2 linked regions of the Bombyx mori genome follow. The protein of the gene in region 2 purifies or fractionates together with the protein of the main gene of each other region. This does not show direct contact. Links are inferred from orthologs where the notes say so. Each region holds a gene or a part of one and is shown on either strand. Other genes may lie near its edges.

The links. The genes of interacting proteins can lie anywhere in the genome.
Region 1: the proteins of CCR4-NOT transcription complex subunit 6 (region 2) and CCR4-NOT transcription complex subunit 1 purify together in Drosophila melanogaster (affinity purification with western blotting; 6 studies listed by BioGRID, with this or other methods). This does not show direct contact. The link is inferred for Bombyx mori from reciprocal best matches to the Drosophila melanogaster genes twin and Not1.

What each region holds. Positions count from the first base shown.
Region 1 is NC_085107.1:17,975,609-17,979,878, forward strand, and holds the start of CCR4-NOT transcription complex subunit 1, read right to left. Parts: upstream 2,801-4,270; 5' UTR 2,243-2,800; coding exon 2,141-2,242; intron 2,034-2,140; exon of another isoform or gene 1,893-2,033; intron 1,228-1,892; exon of another isoform or gene 1,117-1,227; intron 1-1,116.
Region 2 is NC_085112.1:13,066,312-13,070,583, reverse strand, and holds the start of CCR4-NOT transcription complex subunit 6, read right to left. Parts: upstream 2,801-4,272; 5' UTR 2,653-2,800; intron 1-2,652.

The DNA of each region.
Region 1 (4,270 bases), on a different chromosome or scaffold from region 2:
CAGTTGAGCATAAAGAACACAACTAGGCAACTTTCTAAGACTGAGAACAATTTTTGAACTTTGAAGAAATACATGAAAAGATTTAGGAGGAAAGTTCATTTTGAAAGCCAGGTGACAAAAAAGACAGCTTTACATATACTATACTAGCGACCCGCCCTCGCTACGCTTCAGAAACTGTAATTTACTATTGATTTGTCCACTATTTAATGGATATTATTATACATATAAACCTCCCTCTTCAATCACTCTATTTACTAAGAAAAACCGCATCAAAATTCGTTGCGTAGTTTTAAAGATTTAAGCATAGGTACATAGGGATATAGGGACAGAGAAAGCGACTTTGTTTTATACTATGTAGTGATAATGGAGTACTACTTATTTATTTTTTATTAGTACTGGATTATTTGTCATATTTGAGTACTATATTGTTATTAAAATCAGTAAAATGTAGTAGGTAACCAAGCAAATTAAAGTAACAAATTTTTCATAAAAGTAAATAAGTTACCTGACCTGACCTGATTGTTCACTTTAATATTTAAATAGCTTATCTATCTTGATAATTTTTGTTCAACATAAAGACATGGTCATACAGGAATAAGCATATATATCCACATTTATAACATTTATGAGAGTCCTTGTTCTATATAGCAGTTTTCAAAGTTCAAATACCTGCCTGAGGACAGGCAAAGAAATACAATTTATTTGTTTCCATTCAAACACCACCAATTGAACAACTGGTTTGTCCCTTACCTGTAATATCATAATACCTAAAACCTAATTAATAACATTACATGTTTTTTTTTTTTGCATTTCAGTTAATATTTTAAATGCAGTGGTTTTGTTTTTTTTATTAAATAATTTACTTGTTTACCATTTTGTTATTAGACATGAGGTACAAACATATATTTTACAAAATAAATGTTGGTATTTAACAGAATATCAGAGGCAAATCTATTACTGCAGATACTAAGTCTTCTTATGACAGAGTTCATATTTTAGTAGTAGATATGTATGTAGGTATCTGCTAATCAACATAATAAATAATATTACGATTTCAAGAATCTAACAAACACTCAGTATTTTTAATGGGAAATAAAATAAATAGTAATTGCTTACTTAAAGTGGTGTAAATATTAAATTGATTTCCTTAGTGTTTGCTGTCTTCTTTGTTCAGTATTAAGGACAGTTAAAAAACACATGTCTACCCACAATACAATTTATATACTAGCAGTTATTTTCCTTTGCTGTCAAAACTGTATTTTGCTACTTTATTTTACTGAACAGTGTCCAACACATGTTTCCTAGAATCTTTACACACGGAAGTAAAACAGAGCAACCAAACGGAATGAAAATCACTCAGGCAATGTTGCAATAGCAACATGTCAAAAACATGCTTCACGCAATTTACTACTAGTTTAATTATTATCATTTTACTTATTGCTAGGCTAGTTTGTTGAAACAACCATTGATAAAGACTAGATGTGGGGTAATTTCTAACGTGTTTTTCATGTTGAAATAATCTTGCGTCATTTTTAATAACTATTATATTCTAAGTAGTATGATAATACAAATTTAGCAACTGATTTTTTAAAGAAGTTGTATTGAATCATTAGCACAGATAGCACAACACATTATTAATGACCTTCAAATTTTTTTCTTTTTTCTAACCTTTGTTATAATTAATTAACTTATTTATTATATTACATATTATTACTTATATGAATAATAAAATTGTCATACTTTAAAAAAAGAATAAACATTCAACTTTATTTGGTTAGCTTTTTTTTCAAATATTCTTAAGATAAATTAATAATGAATCATAAACGTAATATGTACAGCAGATTATTGACGTTTAACAAATGAAATGCTGAAGGAAATGAAATGGGTGCCACCTATGACTATAGATTTCCGGACATCATTCCGCGGAGATGCGCCACCAGGCAAACGCTTCAATGTAAATCAAAAGTGTCCACAAGAAACTAACGCAGAGCACTTATTAAAGCGATAACGATCGATAACATATCCAAATAGAACAACCCGACGCTACACACACATACAGGCGAAGAGTTCGTGGCTGCCAATATTCACAATATGGCGACAACAGAAAACAAAGAATGATAAAATATGGTAGTTTTCTTACCTGATTCAATTCTTGACTCGTCTGCTTGAAATTTTTCTTGTTTAAATTTACGACGAGATAATGTATATGCGATAAGCTCAACGTTAAAGAGTCCAGGTTCATAGTTCCATTAATGCAAAAACGAAAGCTTCAAACACGTTTGAAGCTTTCTCGATTTTTTATGATTTTCTACGACGAACTTGTGTTCTTTGGTAGTTTTCTGACGAAATGATAATAAACCTAAGCCCAACATCACCAATTTTATTGTTCACTTTGATAAAAACAACATAATTATTATCACCCCACTCAGCAATTTATAAATTAAATTTCAGTAGTAATCAGCACACGATGACGAAAGAACCAAAGTGGCTGCCTGCTGCTTCGTGCCATGTTCGGAAAATTTTCGTGAACGTCCGCAGCCCAGAGAGTTACCATAGAGCACCGACTAGATAGAGATTGGACGTCTCGCAATAGGTAGAGCAAACACTCTCATCTAGAGTTGCTAGGAATAAAATATTTTTTACCGACAGACTCTATGCAACGCATTTTTTAAATTTCTGTGTAGAGCTATAGATCCAAAATTACCAATTAATAGCTTAGTTAAAACCAGATAACTAGAGAAGTTATAATTCGTATGTATTCCTTAGCATATACGAGTACACAGTTTGACGTTAACCATTGAAACGTTACCTAAAAATGAATTTCGTTGTATCACTTTGAATTGACTAACTCGCTAATAGAGAAGCTAATTTCTTTAATAGGTCATGAGTCCGACACGCACATCGGGCAAACATTCATGTGATGATTAAGTTTGTTTGCTTTTTGTTTATGTGTTATAAATACGACGGTGACTTCATCCGCAATAATTACTCAACTTCGACTAGTGCAGTCAGCGATAGGCTATGCCATTGAGACGGTACTGCTAATACTCTAAGACAGTCCGCTGGACCAGAATCAGAATCTACTAGATCGGGACGTAATTCACCGCAAACTATTTGCTCATTAATATTAACATTACGCCATACGCTTAGTATGACACATAGCATCAATTTCCCCAGTTGCATTGTCATATTATTATTGTCACCGAGAGAGGCCACTTAACAAAATGATCTGACTCTATTTTAAAAACAATGACATGACCCTGCTCCACCTAGATCACTGAAGTATGAAACCTATGGAAATGAAACGTCAACAAAAAATGCGTGCCACTGTGACGTCATCTGGCCGCTAAACAAGGCGGTTTTAGTGCTGCCCTCGTCGCCTGCCCCGCATGGGAGGGGTGTGCACCGTGCTGTCGTCGCAAAAATAGGAAACAATTTGTCGTTGCCGAGTGTATTGGCATCGATGCTCGGCGACGACGAGTCGTGGAAGGCGATGCTCGACTTCTGCGAGTGCACCATCTCGCAGAAGGAGGCGGCGGGGCGCGTGAGAGACGCGCAAGCCCGCCGCCGTCGAGCGGGGGCCAGGGAGGCGGATCTCGCCCAAGCCCTGGCCCTCTAAATGTTTCGGGTCCCCTTCATATGTCGGTCTGGGGACCGGCGAAGGGGGCCTAAGAAGACGACGTGCAAGCTGCTCTGCACGCGTTTTACGCAAAAGCATCCGGGTGATGGAAGGCCGGTTATCCTCGACCCACGCTGGTTCTGACCCAGCGGGGTATTCCGTAGGATAACCCATTCAAACCGGCGCCATCTAGACGGGCTCCGGATAGCCTGCCGACCGAGAGGGCTGGTGGTCGTGGCGCCGACGACCGCTGGTCCGGCGTCCCGAGGGGGAGGGTGATGGGAGAGATGTGCTCCGCACTAAACGCTTCACTTTCCCCCCTTTGCCTTTTCATGGGTTCTGTCTCATGCGAGGTTCGGACGCGGGTTGTTGAGCGACAGGAGGTTTTAGTCAGTTCGACTCCAACATGCCCCGCCTTCCATCCCCAGGGGAGGGCGGAAGTTCGGCGATTTCCTCCTGACCAAAAAAAATGCTGCCCAGAAGATTTTAATATTATTAGATTTTATCGATAAACGTTAAAGATATTTTCTTTCTCTACCTTTTACTCTAAAGGTCTATGACCTAGATAGAGTAGATTGATACCTTAGTTATGTTGACATATATGTTTTTTTGTTGCTTAGATAGGTGGACGAGCTCATAGCCCACCTGTAA
Region 2 (4,272 bases):
CAGTGATAACTTGTAATATCTGTGTGCTCTTAATTTCCTCACCATCAGCTATCCGTCACAGTTAAATGGGGTTTTATATCTCAAGTTTTTTCTATTTCTTTAATTTCATTTAAGACATTACTAGCTTCATCTTAACATTTATTTCATTATAAATCTATTGATGAAGGTAATTTATTTATTTCCTTGTCAAATAAATCTAATGTACAATTTAAGCAGGATATGTTTAATGGAGGATTATAAAAAATTTAAGTTTTCAGGCCAGAGGAAGTTACATGATAAAAGTAAGTGCATTTATTGAGCAACGACTGGAATGAGATCATAACCATTATAACAGTTCATTGTCTTCAATTGTCATTAGTAATATTTTCCTTTCAACTACCACTCATCTTTACTTTGATAATGTCTGAATACCATACAATAAAGTTCCAGGAATAACATTCACATCAATATTTACTCATTTCTGCAATAGATCATATTTATAACTTCATTTAAAATGGAATTTCATTTTAACTGGTGGTAGGAACCCTTGTGAGTCCGAGCAGGTAGGTACCACCGCCTTGCCTATTTCTGCCGTGAAGCAGTAATGCGTTTCGGTTGGAAGGGTAGGGTAGCCGCTGTAACTATACTTGAGACCTTAGAACTTATATCTCAAGGTGGGTGGCACATTTACAGTGTAGATGTCTATGGGCTCCAGTAACCACATAACACCAGGTGGGCTGTGAGCTCGTCCACCCATCTAAGCAATAAAAAGAAATTAAAAGATTACTTTTTATCTCTAGTCAATAGTTAAATTTCGCTTGTTAATGAATTATAAAATTATGAGCCTGTTGTTTTTTGATAATGATCATCCCTTAGCTCTCTATAAACTTCACATTGAAGCAGAATTAGAGTGCATGTTGATTTTAGGATATTTGGCATGATATTCAATAACAGAAAATACTTTAGGTTTTTTTACCATGATAGGCGGCTAATCATAAATAGGTTAAAGTCAACTGCAAAATGGATACATGCTGATGTCATCTAACAGGTCCAAAGAATAAAAAAACCAATTGTAAGATTGTCAAATCTTCATGATCATTATATTCGATGAATGTAGGTCAATTTCTACTCCATTCATATTAGACAGATGCTTGTTTCAATTTAATTTTATTTAATCTTTACATGCCATAGTTTTATTCTAACATATTTGTGTATGAACAAAATATTGAATTAAATAATTGTCATATTAATATCTTCATTTGATATTATTTTGGGTACAGTTTATTTATTTATGTGATAATATAAAATGGTTTTCGAGATTAACATTAGGTCATATTTTACAGTATTATAATGAATTACTGGTGGTAGGACCTCCTGAGAGTCCGCACGGGTAGGTATCACCACCCTGCCTATTTCTGCCATGAAGCAGTAATGCGTTTCGGTTTGAAGGGTGGGGCAGCCGTTGTAACTATACCTGAGACCTTAGAACTTATGTCTCAAGGTGGGTGGCACATTTACGTTGTAGATGTCTATGGGCTCCAGTAACCATTTAACACCAGGTGGGCTGTGAGCTCATCCACCCATCTAAGCAATAAAAAAAAATTGACTATTACACACAGCTTCTTCCATATGGTCAAGGAATGCTATGGGAATTTTCAGAAGATAGTAAAATGCAAATAAGTATGAATGTAATGTTGAAAAAATTTAAGAATAGTGGTAATGTATTGAATTTGTAAATGAATCATTGTGTTGATAGATTTAGACTTAAGATTTCTTGACCTCAATATTATGTTTTATGAACTTAAGAGATTAGGATTTTGGTTGCCAGCTGATACAGCCCTATAGTTGAACCATTTATTGTATATAAAAAACAGATATTCAAGACCCTCAATTTAAACTAATGAGTTTGTATCATAATGGAAGAGTGTAGTCAAAATATGAAACAGGAAAATAAAATGGACATTAAGAAGTTTGTAAATTATGAATATTGAATATCTGAGTATTGTCTAATTTGTTATTGCTACTGTATTTGTGTGAGTATCCAAATTTATTGGAAAGGATATTGAATTTGTATTTAGTATTCTTCTATAGTTTCTACATTCACATTAATACAAGATTACTTTTATATTTATTTTAAATTATTTTACAATCAAATGAACCAATAATGTATCTATAAACATTATTTTTTAATTATAATTACATTTTACACTTATCTACATAAACACTGATACAGTTGTTTTCTTAAGAATAAACATAATATTCAAGAAAAATATTGATGTTGATTTTAAATAATGTACCTTTGTAACAACGGTAGGGGTCATTAGGTGTGATAGATACACTTTATACGATAAATTATCTTCTTTCGTAAAAAAGGGACAAAACAGTTCCATAACCTCTGTTGTACGACTAGGAAACCTAAAGAAAAGGACCATTAAAACTTCCTTGAAACTGACTGAACAGACTGTCTGTGTGGCATACCCTGTTTCGACAAAAAATTGACAATTTAATTCATTATTTGTACCATTGCTAAGTAAATGCGTAGCATCTTTGTGTACAGCTGACAAGAAGGAGATGAATTGAGTCCAAAGCAGTTGGCTCGGCGAGCGCCAAGTCATTATAACAATTTAACGTTATAATTTAGACGTTAGATTTTATCTAGCATTTTATACATACCTTCATCTACTCCCTAAAACCTTATACTGCAATTATGATTATAGTAACGGGTAATAAATCACTGTAAACACACAACAGCACAGTCTTTGACAACCAACCACATCAAACGTCCATTTACTGACTGCAGCGACAATTCGTTTTGGCGGCAGGTTCTAGAACTTTTTAGTACCTGTAACCATAGACAAAATATTTTTTAAATTAAATTCTATATTTTGTCTTTTACAATAAAACCCTTTTGTTCGAGGCCCTTTTTTAAAGAGATAAAGTCAATTCGCTTATTTCTATTCCTAAAATATTATCCATGACGTTTACCATATTCACAGTCTTTATATAAACTTATTCAAATATTTCATATTTAAGTTTTATTTTATGTTGGCTTTTTTTAATTTCCGCGGTAGACATACTAGCATACCATCAATCAGTAAGTGCTTACTGTCACCCCTGAACATTAGCAATACCAGGAACGCAGGCAAGCCGCTGCCTACCGATATATAACATTACTAAATAATACAAAACTAAGTGACAAAAATTTCACTGCAAATTGCCTTGTTTGCTCCGCTCTATTTCTGCATGCCGGGTAACGGATATGATAAGATGCACTTTTTTAAACGTGTTTCTATAACCTGTAGTAGTATAAAAGTATAAGTATTGCAAAGGAACGTTGCATATAGTAGCAGTGTGTAATATAAAGGAATGTAGTAAATGCTGATTGATAATCACTGTATGAAGATTAAATGCTCGGAGAATGTTAATTTTTATACATCGGTAAATTTTTTCGTCGGTAAGAAATGGAATGGTACTGTCGTAGAATCACCGCTCGGTCGCTCACGCGGCTCGCACACACAAATACCCTCCAATCGCTACAATCCCGCCTTTGCAGGCTAGCCATCGGAGCTCGGTGGTTCGTGAGGAACATTGATCTACACGACGACCTGGGCCTCGAATCAATCTGGAAACAGACGAAGTCAGTGTCGGAACGATAGTTCGATAAGGCTATGCGTCATGATAATCGCCTTATCATTGCCACCGCTGACTTCTTCCTGAATCCTGATCACACCGGAGCCAGTCGCCGTCGACGCCCTAGACACGTTCTTACGGATCCATCAGATCCAATAACTCTTGCATTAGACACCTTTTGCTCTAACACCCCCAGGAGTAGGGAACCCGGTAACTGTACTCGTCAACTCATGATTAACGTATTAAACATGCGATAACAAATTAAAAAAACCCTTTTTCGTGTATACTTTACGTAAGTAATGTATACAATTCCTAAGATTGTATAGACCTGCCAGTCCACCGGTAATGTGTGAAATAACTATATTTGGGCCTGTTTTTATCATTGTTATGTAAGCCAGTAAGTAGAAGGGTATAAAACGACGGAAAAATAGCACATTAGATTTGCTTAAAATCAACTTTATTAAAATTTCCAATTAGTAAGTAGTTAGTTCTGATTAAAAACAATATTTTTTCAAAGTTAGGTATTTATAGTAAAATCACAATCAAATAACATTGAACTTAAAATTCTTCTGGGTTAACTAACATAATCTAATTTTCTCATAAGTAATCAGTTAAAAAGCTTAGACAACAAAACAATTCTGTAAAAACAAGATGTAGATCTAC